Linked DNA regions of Caenorhabditis elegans. The protein of the gene in region 3 purifies or fractionates together with the protein of the main gene of each other region. This does not show direct contact. Each region holds a gene or a part of one and is shown on either strand. Other genes may lie near its edges.

Region 1 (7,903 bases), 2.0 Mb from region 3:
TGACCTTAAAAACATTTTAATTTGAGTTTCTCGATTTTGCGGAACACTAGAACTAAATTTCCCGTCGCTGTCACCGAGATAAAGACTCATTTCGATGCGGTTCATCAATTTTTACCCATTTTCCGCCTTTTTTACATAAAGAAGGCATTTTAAACACGCTGAGGCCAGTGTAGATGAGATATCAAACATAAGAAAAAAAGTTACCACAGTGGGGACTCGAACCCAGGTGTTGTGGGTGGTAGTCATCTCTGTTATCCACCAGGCCAAAAGTTCAACTATTATTTTTTAAATTTTCAAGTTTCGACACATTTTTAGTCTGTAAACAATGTGTAAAAAACCGAAAAAAAAAACGTCGACCACAGTGGGGGTCGAACCCCGGTGTTGAGATTACCAATCACCAGTGTTATCCACTAAGCCAAAAATTCAATGTTTCAAATGTTTTTCAAAATGATTCAAAAATAGCTGATATGGTTGTCAAATTAACGGAAATTTTATTGGGAACTCGAATTTTTATATGAAAATTCCGGAAAATCACTAGTTTTTATTTTCACAAATTTTATTTTAACAAATCCCGCCGAAATTTAGTGTAACTATCGATTAATTTGGAAGATTGTTCTTATATAGTTCAGTTCCTTTTTCATTTCTCTCTCTTCTTTTTTCATCTTTTTCTTGTTTCTTCTGTGCGTCTCAAACTAACTGTCACATCACATTTACAATCGACGTGTAGTTAGTTCTGTCTCATTAATACTTCTAGTTTTTTCAACTATTTTCACTTTCTATTCTCACTCTGTAAAATCGATTCGTTTTTGCTGAAAATTGTTTTTTTTTAATTTTGAAAATTTCAAAGTAAAAAATTAAAAAAAAACCAAATTTCAGTCCGCTACGGTTTGAACTAAATGTTGTTAATAAAAATCTCTGACATACCAAAAAAAAATTGGAAAAAAGTTTTGACCCCAGCGGGGGTTCGAACCCCGGTGTTGTGAGTCCCACCCATCCGTGTTAACCACAAGGCCAAAAATTTAATTTTTTTGAAAAAATCGATATGGGTCTCAAATTGACGGAAATTTCGTGGAAAACCCGAATTTTTATGTAAATATTTCTGAAAATCGATATTTTTCGGGAAATGAACTAAAATCTCGATTTTTTTTTGTGAATTTTCATTTTCAAAGTCAAAGCGTCTACCATGTCAATTTTCAAAGCATAAACAATGCAAACAAAACTCGACAAAAATTTTGACCCCATCGGGGATTCGAGCCCCGGCCTTGTGAGTCCCAGCCAACTCTGTTAGCCACTAGGCCAAAAACTCGAAATTGTTTTTTTCCAATTTTGCAAAAACGAAAAATGATAGATTTTTATTGATTTTTAGAGATTTTTCAAGAAATTCCTCTGATTTTCTAATCAAAAATCATAAATGTCACATGACACGTTCTCCTGTTCCCGTTCTCAGCTGACAATTCATTTTCCCTACCATTTTTTTTTCGGCCGATTCTGTGTATCTCTGCGTTTCTGTCTATTTCTTCATTTTCTTATTCCTTTATCAAGTTTTTTGTTTCGGTTTTTATCTTTTTTTTTTGTTTCGGCTGTGTGTTGAGGAGGCGATGCATTACCCTCGAAAATGTAAAAGACTACGCCTTTTTTGGAAATTTTTGTTGGGGTTTTTAGGGAAAAATCACTTTAAAAAATTTTTTTCATAGATTGAAAACCAAACTTAAAATCGAAATCTTCAAAAATGAGCAAAAGATCGAAAAGCAAAAAATTGAAATTTTTTTCAAAATTTTTTTTTTCAAATTTTTTCAAAAAATAATTATTTCAAAATTTTCTCAAATTTAGATTTTCTTATGTACTTTTTCACAATTTACCCATTTCCCCTCTAAAAAATCTATAAAAATATCGATTTTTGCAGATGTTTGGGCCGGAAGGCTCCGGGTCACTCAGCTCCTCATCAAGTACACTACAATTCAATTCCACGTCATCCACGATGACGTCATCATCGATAAATGCCACGTCATCACGGGAACCATTAATACACATTCCTAATAAACCATCATTATCAATTGATCCATTGGCGCGGGCGGATAGATCAGTACATTTGTCACCGTCTTTTTTTCAACCAGGTGAGAGATGTTTTTTTATTTAATACCATCACTGAAAATATGTTTTCCTGATAGAATAAATTTTGTTGTGTTTGCCATAGAAAAAATTAAGTGAAAATCTTAATTTTTCGCTGAGTTATCGAATTTCGAAAAATTACAAAAAATTTTCAATAAAAATGTGTCCCACCACGAAAACTATGACTTTCTAGCCCGAAATTTAAAAATAATCAGATTTAAAATTTCACGAGCTTTCAGAAAAGTATAATCATGGCTATGTTTCGAAAATTTCGAAATTTCCCCGGGAGTACTGTAGTTTTCGTGGTGGGACCTAAAATTGACGGAGCCTAGGCATGATGGGTGTCATTTGAAAGTTCTCAGTGTGCTAAGTTCAAATTTAACAGTTTTGAAGTTTCAAGTTCAAGCTGTGCCTTAAAAGTTTTGATTTTTTGAAATTTTTCGAAATTTTTCGAAAATCGATAACTCTGCGAGTTTTTAAGATATTTGAACTATTCCAATTTCAAAATGTGCAGAAAACGTTGAATTTTTTTGCAAAAATATAACCAAAAATCTTCAAATTTTCAGGCCTCTCCTCAATTTCATCTGAAAACGACGATGCTGAACAGCGGATACATGAAGCAACAAGAAGCTTTAATCAATTCGGACATCAATTTTACGAATCAATTCGGGAACTTTCCGAGAGCACAAGTGCCTACGAAAGGCTGAAGGCCAACGCGTTGAGGAGGAAGCTAGAAAATGTTCGTTTTTTTTTGAGATACAGCTATCTTGGTTATATTATGTTAGGCCTATGCACCTTTAAACTTTGATTTTCGTGGCGGGACCCGGAAATTAAATTTTTTTAAGACTCCCTCTCAAAACCTAGTCATGATTATACTTAAATGAAAGCTCTCACCCAGCTGAATTTGATTTTCATATTTTCAAGGTCCCACAACGAAAAACCACCAAAATTTCAAAGCTACAGTAGTCACATGTCCTTTAACCCTCTTATCTCTCAGTCTCTTTGTCACTCTCAATTTTCCCGCCTTTTTGGGTGTGGTTACCGTCTTTTCTTGATGTCGGCGGCGGCGACCGTCTTGTTTCGCAAGAAAAAGAAAAATGAGAGTGAGAGAGTGAGAGAGTACGCAGAGAAAGAGAGTAGGGAGAACATTGGGCGTTGGCGCCTCTCTTTCTATCTACCGAAACACATACATAAAGTGAGAGAGAGAGAGAGAGTGATTGATAAGATTGAGAGAGCGCTGAGAAAATAGAGAAAATCTAGACCGGATTGTTCATCTTCCTACGAAAGACTAATTAATCGATATTAGAATGGAACAGATTTCACAAAAAAAACTTTTATTAACCGCAAAATTTCGAAAAAAGACCAAGAAATAGATAAACATAAGCCTAAGCCTAAGCCTAAGCCTAAGGCTGAGGTTAAGCCTAATCCTAGGCTAAAGCGTATGCATAAGCCAAAGCCTAAGTGTAAGCTTAAGCAGGAGCTTAAGTCTCAGCCTAAGTCTAAACCGAAGCCTAAGCCTAAGCCGAAGCCTAAGCCTAAGCCGAAGTTGACTCCAAAGCCTAAGCCTAAGCCTGAGCTCAAGCCTAAGCATAAAAATCAGATTTAAATATGGAAAAATTGAAAAATCCTTTAAAAATGTGTTTTTTTTGCAGACATTTGGAAATGATAGCGGAGCAGCAACAAGTTCAAGTTCTTCATCGGTTTTCGAAAGACAATCGGACTTTTCTGCATTTGCACCATATAAAAATTCACATTTTGACTCAACTCAGAGCCTTTTCCAACCGACAACTTCATTTAATGACCGTCTGGAACAGATCAAAAGTGATTTTATTGCAGAGCATCAGAGTGGGTTTTATTTTTGATTGAAAAATCTGAATTCAGCGTTTTGAGAGCTTTAATTTAAGTATAATCATGCCAAGGTTTGAAAATTTTGAAAATTTCTTGGGTCTTGCCACGAAAAAGATCTGGGGTACTGTAGGTACAGTTTCCAGGCTGCGAAAAGTATTTTTGTCTGAAAGAACAATTTCTGTTGTGTTTGTCAAACAAAAAATCTTATGTAAATCTCAATTTTTCGCTGAGTTATCGATTTTCGAAAATTGTCGAAAATTTGCCCACAATTTTGGGTGCCACCACGAAAACTATCAGTATTTCTCACAAGTTTTCAAACTATTCGAATTGTAAATTTTACGTGCTTTCAGAAAAATATATATAATCATGACTAGGTTTGGAAAATTTTGGGTCCCACCACGAAAATTCCCCGGGAGTACTGTAGTTTTCGTGGTTGGACCTAAAATTGACGCAGCCTAGGCATGATGGGTGTCATTTGAAAGCTCTCAACGTGCTGAGTTCGAATTTAATTGTTTTGAAGTTTTAAGTTCAATCTCTGCGTTAAAATTTAAAGGTTTTCGATTTTAAATTTTTCGAAATTTTTCGAAAATCGATAACTCTGCCAGTTTTCAAGATATCGGAACCATTCCCATTTCAAAATGTGCAGAAGAAATCATATTCTTCTGCAAAAATTAAAAACTCAACTAAATTTATCACCTAAAAAAAAGAAAACGCCTAAAGAAAATTTCTTATCAGGGACACCCCTGCAAAACACCCTCCGAATTTGTAAAAATTGTCATATATTTTTCAGAGTCAATGTCGTCATTTTCCGGATTCAACACACCGACGACAGCTCTCGGAGCAGCTTTTCAGGGCATGCAAGTCAAGAAAAGTTTGTGATTTTTTTTCAATTTTCAATTTTTTAAACTTTCTAACTAATTTTTTTTTGAAAATTATAGAAAAAATTGAATTTGTCGTGCAAAGAGCTTTTGAATAACACCCATCATGACTAGGTTCCAGTGAGTTTAAATTTTAAAGCACCTATGTGCCTTTAAATTTTGATTTTCGTGGCGGGACCCGGAAGTGCAGGCTTAGAGGTCACTGACAAATATTTCATCTGTTCATTTAAAATTTTATTAGCATTCACGATGCCTAAAACTTTATATTGATCTTCAATTTTCAACTTGTTGGGTCCCGGCACGAAAATCTAAATTTAAAGGCGCATAGGGTTTGAAAATTTCAAACTTAACCTAACCTAGCCAAGATGGGTGTTATTTTGAAGCTCTCAGTGTGCTGAATTCATATTTTTAGTTTAAAGTGTATTGTATGACAAGAAATGAGAGATACTGTAGTTTTTGTGGTGGGACCCGGAAATTTATTGAAAAGTTCAAAATCGTCAGAACCTAGTCATGATTATACTTAAATGAAAGCTCTTGGCTAGCTTGATTCAAATTTTCAAAGTAAAAATCATTTTCAGGTGCGTTCGCTCCAGTCCTGCTTCGAGAAAATCTGGATACCCGGCGCCCCGGGGGCCATTTGATTTCCGACATTCTGAATCGAGACCCGCTTCCACAATCTCGAAATCTTAACCTGAATATGGCTAGAAATGTCCCAATTCGGCTGATTCATTCGACTTCAAATTTCGATATCGCTTCCTCGAGCTCCGGAGATTCAGGCCATCAGGATCATGAGAGTATTGTTGTGGAGGATGCTGACATGGATAGTCCGACAAGTCCGTGTGTCAAAAGATCCGCAATGAATTTTGATTTAAGAGGTAAGGTTTTGAAATTGCGGAAAATTTTTTTTTTAATTCTGGAAAAAAAATTTTCCACAAAATTTTTTTTCAAAATTTTTTCTTCAAAATTAAAAAAAGTCGTCAAACTTCACAATTTAACTATTCTCGGCTCGTCAAGATCCTTCAAATGACACCGATCTTGCCTTGGCCCCGCCCACTTTGGGTCTCACCGCGAGAACCAGAATTTAAAGGCGCATAGGGTTAAAAATTTAAAAATATGCCGAACCTAGGCATGATGGGTGTTATTTTGAAGCTCTTGATGAGTTGAGAGCGATAAAAACAAAATTAAGGTAAAAAATATTTTTTTAGTTCAAAAATAATTTTTCGAAAAATAACCTTTTTTCGCGTTCATCACATCAAGAGCTTTCGAATGACCCCCATGATGTCTAGGCTCTGCCCATTTTGGGTCCCACCACGAAAACTACAGTACTCCTGGGGAATTTTCGTGGTGGGACCCAACATGGGGAGAACCTAGCATGATGGGGGTCACTTGAAAGGTCTTAACAAGCTGACTACAATAAAATATCCAAAACTTGAAAACAAGATAATTATAATACCAATTTTGTGCTGAAAAAAATTTTCTCCAAAATATTTTTTTTCAAAATATTTTTTTGAAAAATCAAAACTTCAAATGTTTTTTAATTTTTAGACGAACCTCTCACAGTGAACGTAGAAAGTGTGTCATCAACATCAGACCTTCCCAGCTCAGTATCCAGCTCTGTGAACTCCTTCGTCTACCAAAACTTTGACCCCTTGGAGTTTAAGCGAAAAATAGACGAACTGACGGCTTCAGCGTGTCTAGCTGTAATGCCAGACGCAAATGGTCAAGTCGATCCGATGGCCATCAAAACTCAGTTGGATGCTATCAAAAAACAAATGGAAGAGCATCAAACCCACATGGCAGAAGCCTCGCAAAGACTCCACGTGGACTCTTCCCTCGAGGATTCAAATTGCGAGCCGAGCCCGAGCTCATCATATGATGCTTCTGAACCATCTGTCAAGAGGCTTCACCATTGCACACATCCGAATTGCGGGAAAGTCTACACGAAAAGCTCACATTTGAAGGCTCATTTTAGAACTCATACAGGTAATACTTTGTTAATTGTACTGAACAAAATATTTTCTAGATTGAAAAAGCAATCATTACACCCAGAAAAAACCAAAAACATGCAGAAAGAATCGAACTTGGGACCTTCTGGGTCTCAGTCATCTCTCTTACCTATTGCGCCACCAGCGCCGTCGCGCCCAGCAACTGGCGCGGCACGCAGTGCGCGCGTGGCGCAGTCGGTAAGATGTCAGACTATGACCCAGAAGGTCACAGGTTCGATTCTTTGTCGAAGGATATAGGTTTTTCTGGATGAAAAGTTTGAAAATTTCAGTTTTAAATCTTGATAACTTCTCTTTAAAGTTGTTTTTAGAAATTTTTTGATGAAAAAAATCATTTTTCAGGTGAAAAACCATACGAATGCAGTTGGGACGGGTGTGATTGGCGATTTGCTAGATCTGACGAGCTAACAAGGCACTATAGGAAACATACAGGTAATTTTTGAGTGAATTAAAGGCGCATACACCTAAAAATTTTCAAATTTTCCCAAACCTAGTCATGATTATACTTAAATGAAAGCTCTCGTCGAGCTCTATTTAAATTATGCACTGCAATGCTAAGAAAAACAAAAATAATTGTTTTTTTCAGGAGACCGCCCATTCAAGTGCTCTCAATGTTCACGTGCCTTCTCCCGAAGTGATCATCTCTCACTCCATATGAAACGCCACTTCTAATCAAAAAAAACATGGTGCAACAGATTAACTAATTACGGGTTCCCAAAATGTATTTCTCAACTTTTTATCCGGTCATTACATTTTTTTTGGAAAATTTTTGAAAAAAGTTTTTTTTTTCAAAAATTTTCAAACTTCCCGCCAGTCACGTCTCAACATCGTGACGTCATTTTTACAGTTTTTTGAATGTTTTCTTGCTCAAAAAATGCTTGGTATCATCACTAAATACGGTCATATTAATTTTTGTCACATTTCACTTTCCCCCCCCCCCCCCACGTGGAAATCAATAAATACATATCGATTTTTTTTTCTGTGTTTTTTTTTTTGATTTTTCAGAGATTAGTAATTTGAAAAAAAACCAAATTGGAAAGGTTTTGAGCCTTTCAAAATTATTCA
Region 2 (7,267 bases), 4.3 Mb from region 3:
CAGTGAGCTACTTCAATCCCATCTCCCATTTCGAACGTAATTGGTGATCTCTGAAATTTTGGAAATATACACATTTATTCAATTAGTCTCAATAAAACTCACGACGCTACTCTTTCTATAGCTTCTAACACTATTTTTATCAGTACGAATACCGTAGTGATCAGCGACCGAAGGTGAATGTTTCGCTGCTCCATTCACTGCGATAGATGCTCCTTCTGAAAATCTTTTTTCTGGAAACTGCCTGAAAATAATTGTGACCTACTGGCTACGGTATCCCACCAAGTAGTCATTCTGAGCGAGTTGTAGAGAGAAAAACCGACGAGAAGAAGCTCGAAGAGCACTGAGTACCAAGACTTTAAATATTCGAACATCAATCAGAAATATTAAGAGAAAACTCACGTCCAGTTGATACATTTTCGAATTTGCGAAATAATGGTATTCGATTAGTTTTTTGTTTTGTTTTTAATTCGATTTCAAATGTAAAATTCAAATAGTGATTTCACGGTACATTATATTTATTCATTTCAGTATATATTTATTTACCAGAGAATCAATTCAGAGCACATATTTTCTCGTCAGAACAAAGAAAAACTAGCCTACTTATTTTTCAGATAAAACCGTAACATATATAGTTGCACAACAAAAAAGAAGGAAGATACTATGGAATAATCACAGAAGTTTTTAGAGGAAACGGGCCTGACCAGATAACAGGAAATGGTTATTTGAAAGAATGATAGTGGGTGGGAGGGGGATACAAAAGGCGATGGGGACGACAACACATATAATTTGGAAGAATTGAAGCATATTAATCGTTATTCTGTTTGGATAATGATTCGGAAGGAGCCGTTGGTTCACCGCTGAATGGATCAACATATTCGGAGGAATCATCTGAAAATGAAATTAATTGAAGAAAAAACTAATTCTCAATTAATTATACCTTCAGTGGGTGCAGGCATAAAGCTGAATGACATTGGCATGGTTGGAGGCATCATCGGTGGCATTCCAGTGTCCATAGCTGGTGCTTGGCTAGTGGCCATTCCCGATTGAAGATATCGTGATCCAACTCCACTTCTAGCACTTCGCAGACTATTCGTGCTCGATTTGTTAGAATCAGGACCTCCACCCATCAAATGAGGAGCTGACATGACTGGCGGTGGAGCAGCTACGACCTCTTCTTCTACTCCAGCACCAACATATCTTTTCTGAACAGGATCCCAAACGATCTGAACAAATGAATATTTGATATTCAAAAAATCGGCTTTCAAATTAACATACACTTGGCTTTGAATCGTCAGGCAGGATCATTTGGTTTGCTGATGGAATCGATTTGATGACTTTTTCCTTAATCGATCCGAACCATCCTTTAGATGCTTTTCGTTCATTCAATGCAAGTTCAGGTTGTTTCTGTGGGACAGGCGGCGCAGTCTTTAATAATTAAAAATAATTACTTGTCATTCTGAAGGTTTCACAGAAAACTCACAGTTTTAGCATTTGGAATAGATGCTTGTCCTAGTGTTGCTTGTTGAAGAACCGGAGCAGAAGAAACGGCTGGTGGTGGTGTTGGTACACTTGGAGCTGTTGGGTTTGCAAAGTTAGGTGCAGGCGAATAAGATGGTTGAATATTTCGCGGTGCAGGTGGATATGAAGTTTGATTGCTTGGCGGTGAAGTGTCCCATAAATCATCCAGTTCCGAACGAGGACTTTTTGCAATGCTGGCGTCAACAGGTTTCGGAATAGGAATAGGTTGAGGTGATACCATGATTGGAGTACTGACAGGTGGAATAGGCATCGATAACGTTGGCATCGGTGGCTTCACAATCGCTGGAGGCGTCATCTCAGGAACAACATTTTTAGAAATTGGTGGTGGTGTTGAGATTGGTTTTTCGATAGTTTTTGGAAGGGATGGTGGTGGTGGTAAAGTGGATGAGGTCAACGTTGAAGTTCTTGATGCTGACGCAGCGACAGTAACCGAAGAATCGGATTTATCTGTAAATGTCGATTCAGATGACGATTCAGTAACCAGGGTAGGTGGAGGCAAAGAAGCACGTCCGGGTGCAATTGGTTTCTCGACAGTTTTATCGTTATGTTGTTGATCGTTACGTGATCCAATCTCCAGCGGCGCTTGATGCTCATCATGCCATTTTTTAGCTTCAGACGAAATAGATTTGTTTTCCACTGGTTGTGGCTGTGGAACATGTTGTTGAGATTCTTGAACTGGAGCTGCACCTAGCATTCCTCTCATAGTTGTAATCCAACCACTTTCATCAGGAGTTGCGGCAGCCATGTATTGAAGACTCTCAGCCAGATCGCAAAGATCAAACATTGCATTTTTATCGAAAGCTGCGACATACATCCACAACGATCTTGCTACTTCTGTACAATATCTGAACGCATCCGTAGCAAATCCACCAAAAGACGACAGCTTCTTTGCGTATTCAATACGAGCTAACTGATAATCAATCGATTTTGCTAGTGGTGAATCGACATTGTTATTTCCCAGTCGGAGAGCATAATCAAAAATATCAGTAGCATGAAGATCAGTGAATGAGAATCTGAAAAGCATGTTTTATGTTATGCATATTGTGTTAAGTAATCTTACCCAGCGGTTCCTGATAGTCCATCAACTCGATTCAACAAGTTAGATCCACTATGCACAAGGCCGATGTGCTTTCTCGAAGTTTCATCTCCGTCGTGAGCCACTGGAATAAATGGATCATAACCAGCCAGAATGCATACAACAAGGAGACAGAAATCAGCAGCACAGTTTCGTTCTCTTTTTGCTAGGAGCAAGCCGAGATGATAGATCTGAAAAAAATTTTACAGTTTTAGTTTTGCTTTTCTCCTGCCGTACCGTTTGCATAGCGGTCTGCGAGTTTAGATTCGCAAGAACAATGGCCGCATGTCGTTTCCAATTGTTGTCATCATCGAACGCCGAATTCGTCAGAATCGGAGGTGGTTGATCACTTGAAACTGCAACCAGTGTTGCGAATGGATCGTCAATGGAACGAAGATTCATAAATCGTGCCTCGATTTCCTCAATTTTCTTAGCGTCATTTGGATGCAGTCTACGGATCAATGTCATTGCGTCGGCATAGAGTCCATCGGTTATAGCACTTTCAACAGCTTCCTGAAAAATTATAATTATTTAATTAACAAGATTAGACAAAATTACATTAATGTGACCACCAAGAAGATACTTATTGAACCGCTCCTTTGCTTCGAACTTCGAACCAGACTCGGATGTCCCATTGCTTGAAATTCCAGTTTTTTCACCAAGTTCTTCCGAGGCATTTGTCAGCAGTGTTGCTACATCGGGTCCGGTGACTCTCTTAAAATGTTAAATTCCTACTAAGTTCTCAAATTAAAACAATTCTTACTCCATGTTGCTGAACCATGATTTCGAGCAATTGCCAGACGAGAAGAGCATCCACCACCTCACTTTTCTTTACGTCACCAGCATTTCTGATCTGGCGAAGAGCGTCGATTTGTCGTTGGATGTAGAGACGAACGGAATGAGTTGGAGTTTGTCCAGCAATCAGTGGTCCTTTAAAGTTCTGAACTGATTCGATCACTTTTCCAGATTGTTCATCGAAATGAAGAAATGTTTTCAGATCATCCACATGAACGCTGGATGTACTTAGAACATGTCCAGTGATACTATCGATGGTTCCCGCTGGTTTAATGATCACCAATTTTCCTCCAACACCAATGGTAGCAAACTGAAGGCAGGAGTGATAATGAAGTGGTCCGTTGCTCAACACTTCTTCGGGTTGCGAGATGTTAAGTTTTGGCTCTTCGCGTTCCTCGATTTTATGCCTATAATAATATTTTTGCTCATTGTACCGTTGGTTCCATACTCACTGATTGAAATCCAGTTTCTCGCTCTCTGCAGCTTCTTGTCGTGCTTTTTCGTACGCCAATCTGTCGGCTTCCAGTTGCTTCAGGGAGAATTCTTCTTGCATCCGCTTGCAAACCTGTAATTTAAAATATGAAGCAATTCAATTTTGTCAGTAATCTTACCTTAAAAAGTGCCAGATCTTTAGAATCACCATACCCGCGGTAGGAGTAGAATTCACGATTAAAAATTACGTGAAACTCATCAATATTGTTGTAAGGTTTGTTATTAACGGCACAGTAGAATACATAAGCGACACGGTCGATTGGCGGCATCTTATAGTATTTTTCCGGAGGAGGCATCGTTCGGAACACATGATCAACAATAGCAGAGCCAAGTTTCACAACTCCGTAGTAATAGCTTTCACTTTCGCTATTATAAACTTCAGAGGCAAGGGTATTTGTTACACTCCTGGAGCCTTGTGCTCGTCCTTCCATATAAAAATTTCGTACTTCTTCCTCTTCTTCGTCTTCTTCCAGCTCTTCTGAAGTCTTATCAGACTCTCCACTATCATATACAAAACCATTTCTCATTGAAGATGCGTTCGCATATCTTTCAGCAGCAGTTGATCGTGGTCTCACAGGCTCACGGTGGTTGTTCGGCAGCAATCCCACACCAGCACGACTATTCGCGTAATCACTCGCATATCCAGATGCATTTCGAGCTGAAGGAGCACCAGAGAAACCTTCGCTTGGGCCACGTGAAGAGTTTTGGTGATATCTGCAAATTTCCATAATTAGAAGAAGAAACTCCCTTGTTTTAAACCTTGAATAAGTACGGTCATATCCATTGAAAGTTGAGTTGAGGCCTCTTGAACCATTACTCATTCCAGTACCCTGCCGGTTACTCTTTTGAGATACTGGGCGAGCTGGTTGAATAAGAATGGGTCTTCTTGGTTGTGGAATATCGTTGTCCAGCCGACTGCGTCGAGGCCTGAAAAAAAAGCGATGAAAAGATATCGATCGGCGTGTGAAATTCTTGTATTCACTGACCTTGAATGGTTAACGGATGAAGCGTCATCATCGCCTCCTCTAGAAGACGGAGGTGAAGCATTGTAAGGATTATTCCAGTCACTCATATCGAAACCAGAAGCTGAAAATGAATAGTGATTGATAAAAATTGTTGATAAATCGAATTTTATCATACCTCCGGCATTCATTCGTTGTTCATACTTCATAGAATCGATCTGTAATAAATTAGGCGAATATACAAGTTAAGTGTCGAGATGTTAAAGTCTGTTGGGTAAATATAGAGAGGCAGAAGACAAGGGAAGAAAAGAAAAGAAGGGGCAAATTGAGGTCAACCGTGTCACTTTAGTGCCAACACGGCGACGCAAAAATGCACGGAAAGGGCTGCTGTGGGGAATATGGGAAAATGGGAAAATTGAAAACAAGAATAGTTCAGTTTTCCTTTGTTGGAAGTGATACGAACAGGTGAAAGTGAATGGGAAAATGATATGAATTTTGTTTTTTATTCTTCCAAATGGTAAAATAAATTCGGTTTTTACTTGTTTTCTTAATGGCCTTAAGATTTAAAATTACAATTTTGGGAAATCTTACCCTGTATCGCCGCATTTTCCATTCGAAATCCATAAAAATCGTGGGTTTTTGGGAATTTCCAATTTAAAGTTCAATTCAAAACGCCGCACGGATGTGTTAAAAGCGCGGTGCCACGTGAAGCCAAGCTTAAAAATAAAATAAGACAAAAAGTTCACGCGAGAAATGAATAAACGCGAAAAAAGTTCGAGGTTGAATGAAAAAAATAACTGATAGAAAAACTGTCGTCAGTTTCGGTGCTTGCGGAGTGAACATTGTGTACCGTAGCCACAAAATCGTAAAATCGAAAGCAAGGATTTATTTATTTGTTAACAGAAACAAAGTTGTTTAATAAATACGAAGATTTGTTTTTTCACGAAAAGAACTTATTTTGCTAAGGTATCTTTTATCTCCGTGTCACACCTAAACGGACCAAAAATAACGGGAAAAACAAGGAAGATGACGATAATTAATTAATGAATATACATAATAATTGTGTTAAATTAAAGGAAATAATATTAAGTAATAAAGTGGCGACAAGGAGAAGTATTCTTGGTTCTCCGCATTCGCGACAGTTCTTACAGTTTTACTGCACAACACTCCGCAAACCTAACCAACAATCGCTCTACAATATTTAGAAAAATTTGTTTCAAAACTGCTACAGTACCCCTACATTTTTTGTTAGGCCTCTCATTATATGTGTTTTGGTGAGTGCTTTATTTTTATTCTTCCAAGCTTTATTAAATTATCTCTTAGCTATCAGCTTTAAAAAACAAACATCGAATAACAATTTAAGTGAATTCATAATTTATGAAAGTTGTAGCATTATAACCCGTATATTGTCTTTGCTCGGAAAACAAGATCTGCTTGCCATGGAAGCACTGTTCCACGAATTGCACTCGTAGGAAGCCACGAATAACCGATAATTGTGGTTATTATACGTCGTTCTCGGAGAGAAATAGCCCAAACATCATGCTCCGTCCACGCGTTGTCTGTATCGTTTTCATTTTCTGCAACTTCTGAAGCCAAATGAGCAGGACTCGTGTCATTGGATGGTATTCTTTTGTCCGCAGTGATAATTGAGCTATCCAAACGTCGCATTGAAAACATCTGAAAATACATCACAAATTTTTAAAAGTAATCTTTTTGGTTACTTACATGAGCGTCAGAATCTGAAATTCCAATCATCTTCAAAATAGATGTCAGATGTTCATCTTTCGACGAGTTCTCCAGATGCCATTCATTTGGAATATTCTTCTGACTATCAACTAGAACTTGACATTTCGCTTCAACTCCACCACTCAAAACGACATAATAACAACGTCGATTAGCACCAAATCTCGGATGATTTCCTCTTCCAGCCATTCCAGTTCGACCATTCGGATTCAATGGGAAGCCGGCAGCTGAGAGCTTCCAACATTTATCATTACTACTAGTAACATCATTTGCCTGACGGCTTCTCCAAATTCGTTTTAGTTCTCCAACATTTTGCTCCGTGGCAATATCAACATACTTTTGCACATCTGATGGAAAATCTTCCGCAGGCTTACAATAGAAGGGGGGATTGTATCTAGGTACAAGCACTGTCCATGGCTTAGACACCATGTTCACACTAATCTTCAGAATGTTACTTTCTGGGTATTTCTCGAAAAATTGAAGTTCTGAAGCTTTTCGTGTACCCGAATTTTCATATGAATCTCGCAAAGTCATCATTCGAATGTGGTTCTGAAATTATTTTCAGTTTTAAACTTGTGTTTAAAAAAATAAATCTTACATGAATATTATGAAGTTCCTGAAGTTCTGATTTGTTTGCTGATATCTTCGCTTTCTGCTGTGT
Region 3 (4,993 bases):
AACATTTACAGCTGTCACTCAATTAACCTATAACAATCCTGGATGGTGAGAGACTAGTATTTTAAAACATTTTTAATTGAATATATTATTCCAGGACGTTGGAATTGCGAGTACATCTAACACAAACGATGTGGAGTTTGACGATGGTATATATTATTGATTAACATTCACATGATAATGGTTTTCTTTCAGATTTCATCCGACATGCTCGTCACATGCCGATCAATAAATTAATTGAAGAGCTGGCAATGTTGGAACACGGTAAACCAGCTGTCAAGATTATCTTTTATTGATTTTATTTTAATTATTAAATTTAAATGTTTCAGACAATCATCCACTTTTACATACTGCTCGCCGGAACTTCGATAAAGATAGAAAAGTCCAGAAGGATCGAATTGAGTGCCATCGCGCGAGAGCCGAACTAAAAGGTATCTTTTGAATTGTTGAAAACTTTGAAAAGCTCAAAATACAAATTCTTTAGCAAAAAATGATTTCAATACAAGAAGTGCCGCAGATCAAGCAGAATGCACATTGCGGTTAACGGAATTGCTAGACGAATTCACGAAAAGGAGTGATGAAATGGACAAAACAGTTTTGCATGAATACGGAGTCATCGATATTCATAAACAACAGTCAGCTCCGCCTGTGTTCGAGTCCAACAAGAAAACTCTGCGAGGACGTGGAGGAGGACAGCTTGTTGAGCCAGTCACTTACTTCAATTCAAATCAGAATACTCGAATACCTGAATTCAAGCTGAATTTGTCTTTCGAAAATCCGAGAATTCGACAAGAGTTGGATATTATTATGAATCGGCCGAATTCGCGTCGAATCATTGTCTGTTCGGTATCGATTCAGAAACCGAAACTTGTGATCGATAACAAGTCATTCAAACACGGCGAAGATGTCTATGCGTATAACAGAATATTTGGAGAAATGCTCGCAAAACTCGAAATTGTCACCGATAAAATGATTAACTTGAAAGGGGCTAATGTAAGTTATCTGATGTTTCTACAATTAAAAAAATTGTTTTTTTTTCCAAATTAATTTTCGAAGATTAACGAAAAACGATTAAAAATCAATAAAACGCAATAAAGAGGGCTTGGCTTTCTTTTTAATTTAAATTATAATTTTTCTGATTGTTGTATGAAGCTACAAAATGTACTGTTTTTGTATTTGAATATTGTATTACAGGGTTGGGATTCTCGGCAAATATCAGCGACAGTGGAAGATTTAGAAGAAGGACGTGTGACAATCACTAAGCAAAGAGGAAAGGATAAAGGATTGTGATATTTCACTGTTTTACTCATTCGCTTTTTAAATAAGAACTATATGCCGATTTGCCGATATATTTTTGTTTATTAGGCCTCTCACATTCCTGTACAATGTTTCTACCAAATAAACTGCATTTTTATCTGAAAATTCGAATTTATTTTTGTCTACTTTTTACTCGTTGCATTCGAGATCAGCATATCTTCCGGTCTATTTATATTCAACGATTTTTATAAATTAGTACTCCTTCATGTTTAATTTCATTTTATCTGTAAGCTTTACTGTATTTTTTTAAAATCTTTCTTGCTTCTATCTGATTATACAATGTTCTTTACTCATTTTCAAGGTATTTTTATGCCTCACAATTTATGCACATTTCGGGCTTGGAGATTTATCCTCTATATTACATGCCTGTTTTTTTAAAGTGTATATAATGTTTAACAAATAATTTTTTATCAATGCTATTGTATATTCTCCAGCTAACCGTTGTTTCGAAAACATCACCTAGCATTTTAAAATTCACAAAATCTTGCTTCCTTATAATCAAGAAGATTTTTCAGATGCTCTGCGAAATCGAATGCCGCGCTTTGAGCACGGCACACACGAGGCTCATCCACGACTTTGAACCACGTGACGCATTGACTTATTTAGAAGGCAAAAACATTTTCACAGAAGATCATTCTGAACTTATCAGTAAAATGTCAACTCGCCTCGAGAGGATCGCCAATTTTCTTCGAATCTATCGACGTCAAGCTTCTGAACTTGGACCACTCATCGACTTTTTCAACTACAACAATCAAAGTCACCTTGCTGATTTCCTCGAAGACTACATCGATTTTGCGATAAATGAGCCAGATCTACTTCGTCCAGTAGTGATTGCTCCACAATTTTCCCGACAAATGCTCGATAGGAAACTATTGCTTGGGAATGTTCCAAAACAAATGACATGCTATATTCGAGAGTATCACGTGGATCGAGTGATCAAAAAGCTCGACGAGATGTGTGATTTAGGTGAGAAAACTGGAAGCTCTCGTGTTTATTATAATCTTGCTTAAACTTCAGACTCCTTTTTTCTGTTTCTACACGGCCGAGCTGGATCCGGAAAATCAGTAATTGCATCACAAGCTCTTTCGAAATCTGACCAACTTATTGGAATGTGAGTGGTATTATCTGAATCCTACGGATCTTCATTCTATTACAGAAATTATGATTCAATCGTTTGGCTCAAAGATAGTGGAACAGCTCCAAAATCTACATTCGATTTATTTACGGATATTTTGCTGATGCTAAAGTGAGTGAATAGAGTGCATGTAACATTCAGCATGATTTTGAAATTATGAAAATTTGACCTGGTTAGCTTTTAATTTGATATTTCGTGACGCTTGCATGTTTTGTGTGTTTGAAGACGAGCCCGTGTTGTGAGCGACACGGATGACTCGCATTCGATCACCGACTTCATTAACCGTGTTCTTTCAAGAAGCGAAGACGATCTTCTCAATTTCCCATCGGTGGAGCATGTCACGTCAGTTGTACTCAAAAGGATGGTAAGTTGCTTGCCGATTCTGGTACAATATCTTAAATTATTGGTTTTTAGATCTGCAACGCACTCATTGATCGTCCAAATACTTTATTCGTATTTGATGACGTAGTTCAAGAAGAAACAATTCGTTGGGCTCAGGAGCTACGTCTTCGATGTCTTGTAACTACTCGTGACGTGGAAATATCAAATGCTGCTTCTCAAACATGCGAATTCATTGAAGTGACATCATTGGAAATCGATGAATGTTATGATTTTCTAGAAGCTTATGGAATGCCGATGCCTGTTGGAGAAAAAGAAGAAGATGTGCTTAATAAAACAATCGAACTAAGCAGTGGAAATCCAGCAACGCTTATGATGTTTTTCAAGTCTTGTGAACCGAAAACATTTGAAAAGTGAGTGGGACATACCAATTTGAGACTTTTAAAATAATTTATTCTACAATAAAAGTTAATCAAAAAGTTTCATAGCTGATTGTCTTTAAATTTTACGAATTGAGGATCAAAATCAAGAATTAGGATCCTGGCACGAGAGAAAACTGTGTAGCTACCGTACCCGAGAGATTTTCTTGATATTTGCCATCGATTTAATTTTTTAAGAAAATTATCGTTTTACATAATTGAACAAGAGATACACGGTCTCGACCCGACGGAAATTTTTTAAATGAAAGCGAGTATGAGCCTGTTTTCATTATTTTTCGATTTTCTCTTGTTGTTTCTTTTTATTTAAAGCCTTTTATTTTGAAACAAGTCTAAAAATATTAAAAACTGAATAAAATATTTAAAAAAAATCAAGTAAAATAGAAAAACAGCAAGGCTGGAGACTACTGTACTTCTTAAATCCGCATACTCTTTTTATTTAATCATTTTCCGGAATGTCGAAACGAAATAATACATTTTTAGTCCAAAATCGCTAGGTATATTCTTAAAATTATCAAACATTTTGCATTCAGAATGGCACAGCTTAATAACAAATTGGAAAGTCGAGGATTAGTCGGTGTTGAATGTATCACCCCTTACTCGTACAAGTCACTCGCAATGGCTCTTCAAAGATGTGTTGAAGTTTTGTCAGATGAGGATCGAAGTGCTCTTGCTTTCGCAGTTGTGATGCCTCCTGGAGTTGATATACCCGTCAAGCTATGGTCATGTGTTATTCCAGTTGATATTTGTTCAAATGAAGAAGAACAATTGGATGATGAAGTTGCGGATCGGTTGAAAAGACTCAGCAAGTATGAGTCTTGAAATTTGAAGATTTAAATTAACACTTAAAATTTCAGACGTGGAGCTCTTCTCAGTGGAAAACGAATGCCCGTTTTGACATTCAAAATTGATCATATTATCCATATGTTCTTGAAACACGTCGTTGATGCACAAACTATCGCCGTATGCTGAAAATGTCTCAACTTTCAATTAAATTTTAAATTTTCAGAATGGAATCTCAATTCTCGAGCAGCGTCTTCTTGAAATAGGAAACAATAATGTATCAGTACCGGAGCGACATATACCATCACATTTCCAAAAATTCCGTCGTTCATCAGCCAGTGAGATGTATCCAAAAACTACAGAAGAAACTGTGATCCGTCCTGAAGACTTCCCAAAGTTCATGCAATTGCACCAGAAATTCTATGACTCCCTCAAAAATTTTGCATGCTGTTAAAACCTATCGTGTACAATATTGCCTGTATATTCCCCTCGAAATACGTTTATACTTTTTCGCACGAGTTTTCTCATTTTTTCATTTGTACTTGTTTTATTTCTCTCCAAAATTTCAGATCTATCCCAAATGTTCTTAAATTTAATGTTTTCTACAGATACTCAACACATCTTGTTTCATCTCATCCTTGCTTTTTTTTTTCAAATATATTCAGTTTCTTTTATAATTTTAATTAATCGAATTAATACATTCACGTAAAGAATTTCGTGGACTATTATTTTATCGCATCCAAATGATTTATTCCCTATTGTTCGAAACTTCCAAATTGATCATTTTTAAACACGCCTCATTAAATTGAAAGTCGTACTTTTAGTCTCGAACATGAAGTAAGTTATTTTCTGTGTTCTAAATTCAAAGTGCATTCCAAAAGGACATTTGATGAGTTTTCACGAAAACCGTAATTTTTACAATTTCCTTTCAGTTTTGAAGATGTTCGATTTCTTTCCTCTGTTGGCGTCATTACTACATTTGCTT

What was found.
Region 1: the proteins of ced-4 (region 3) and klf-1 fractionate together in Caenorhabditis elegans (co-fractionation; one large-scale study listed by BioGRID). This does not show direct contact.
Region 2: the proteins of ced-4 (region 3) and sec-16A.1 fractionate together in Caenorhabditis elegans (co-fractionation; one large-scale study listed by BioGRID). This does not show direct contact.

What each region holds. Positions count from the first base shown.
Region 1 is NC_003281.10:2,872,915-2,880,817, forward strand, and holds klf-1 (Kruppel-like factor 1), read left to right. Parts: upstream 1-1,903; 5' UTR 1,904-1,978; coding exon 1,979-2,114; intron 2,115-2,675; coding exon 2,676-2,848; intron 2,849-3,761; coding exon 3,762-3,954; intron 3,955-4,747; coding exon 4,748-4,828; intron 4,829-5,413; coding exon 5,414-5,710; intron 5,711-6,380; coding exon 6,381-6,818; intron 6,819-7,000; exon of another isoform or gene 7,001-7,074; intron 7,075-7,180; coding exon 7,181-7,270; intron 7,271-7,417; exon of another isoform or gene 7,418-7,424; coding exon 7,425-7,510; 3' UTR 7,511-7,762; downstream 7,763-7,903. UniProt on the Caenorhabditis elegans protein: Transcription factor which modulates genes involved in lipid metabolism and the phase I detoxification pathway, including cytochrome P450 oxidases.
Region 2 is NC_003281.10:9,124,041-9,131,307, reverse strand, and holds sec-16A.1 (Protein transport protein sec-16A.1), read right to left. Parts: upstream 5,470-7,267; coding exon 5,455-5,469; intron 5,082-5,454; coding exon 5,042-5,081; intron 4,988-5,041; coding exon 4,888-4,987; intron 4,829-4,887; coding exon 4,661-4,828; intron 4,616-4,660; coding exon 4,021-4,615; intron 3,975-4,020; coding exon 3,862-3,974; intron 3,817-3,861; coding exon 3,378-3,816; intron 3,329-3,377; coding exon 3,173-3,328; intron 3,128-3,172; coding exon 2,852-3,127; intron 2,806-2,851; coding exon 2,600-2,805; intron 2,553-2,599; coding exon 1,481-2,552; intron 1,426-1,480; coding exon 1,276-1,425; intron 1,224-1,275; coding exon 938-1,223; intron 889-937; coding exon 806-888; 3' UTR 501-805; downstream 1-500. Other genes in the region: ZK512.10 (DUF4752 family protein), read right to left, coding at 1-50, 103-215, 263-353, 400-414; Protein ced-11, read right to left, coding at 6,256-6,540, 6,589-7,155, 7,205-7,267. UniProt on the Caenorhabditis elegans protein: Plays a role in the organization of the endoplasmic reticulum exit sites (ERES), also known as transitional endoplasmic reticulum (tER).
Region 3 is NC_003281.10:4,850,496-4,855,488, forward strand, and holds ced-4 (Cell death protein 4), read left to right. Parts: upstream 1-1,829; coding exon 1,830-2,280; intron 2,281-2,331; coding exon 2,332-2,425; intron 2,426-2,470; coding exon 2,471-2,558; coding exon of another isoform or gene 2,559-2,560; intron 2,561-2,678; coding exon 2,679-2,813; intron 2,814-2,863; coding exon 2,864-3,201; intron 3,202-3,758; coding exon 3,759-4,034; intron 4,035-4,082; coding exon 4,083-4,188; intron 4,189-4,234; coding exon 4,235-4,462; downstream 4,463-4,993. Other genes in the region: F26A1.1 (Non-structural maintenance of chromosomes element 4), read left to right, coding at 43-45, 95-146, 193-261, 327-428, 482-990, 1,192-1,287; C35D10.8 (PH domain-containing protein), read left to right, coding at 4,841-4,845, 4,941-4,993. UniProt on the Caenorhabditis elegans protein: Component of the egl-1, ced-9, ced-4 and ced-3 apoptotic signaling cascade required for the initiation of programmed cell death in cells fated to die during embryonic and postembryonic development.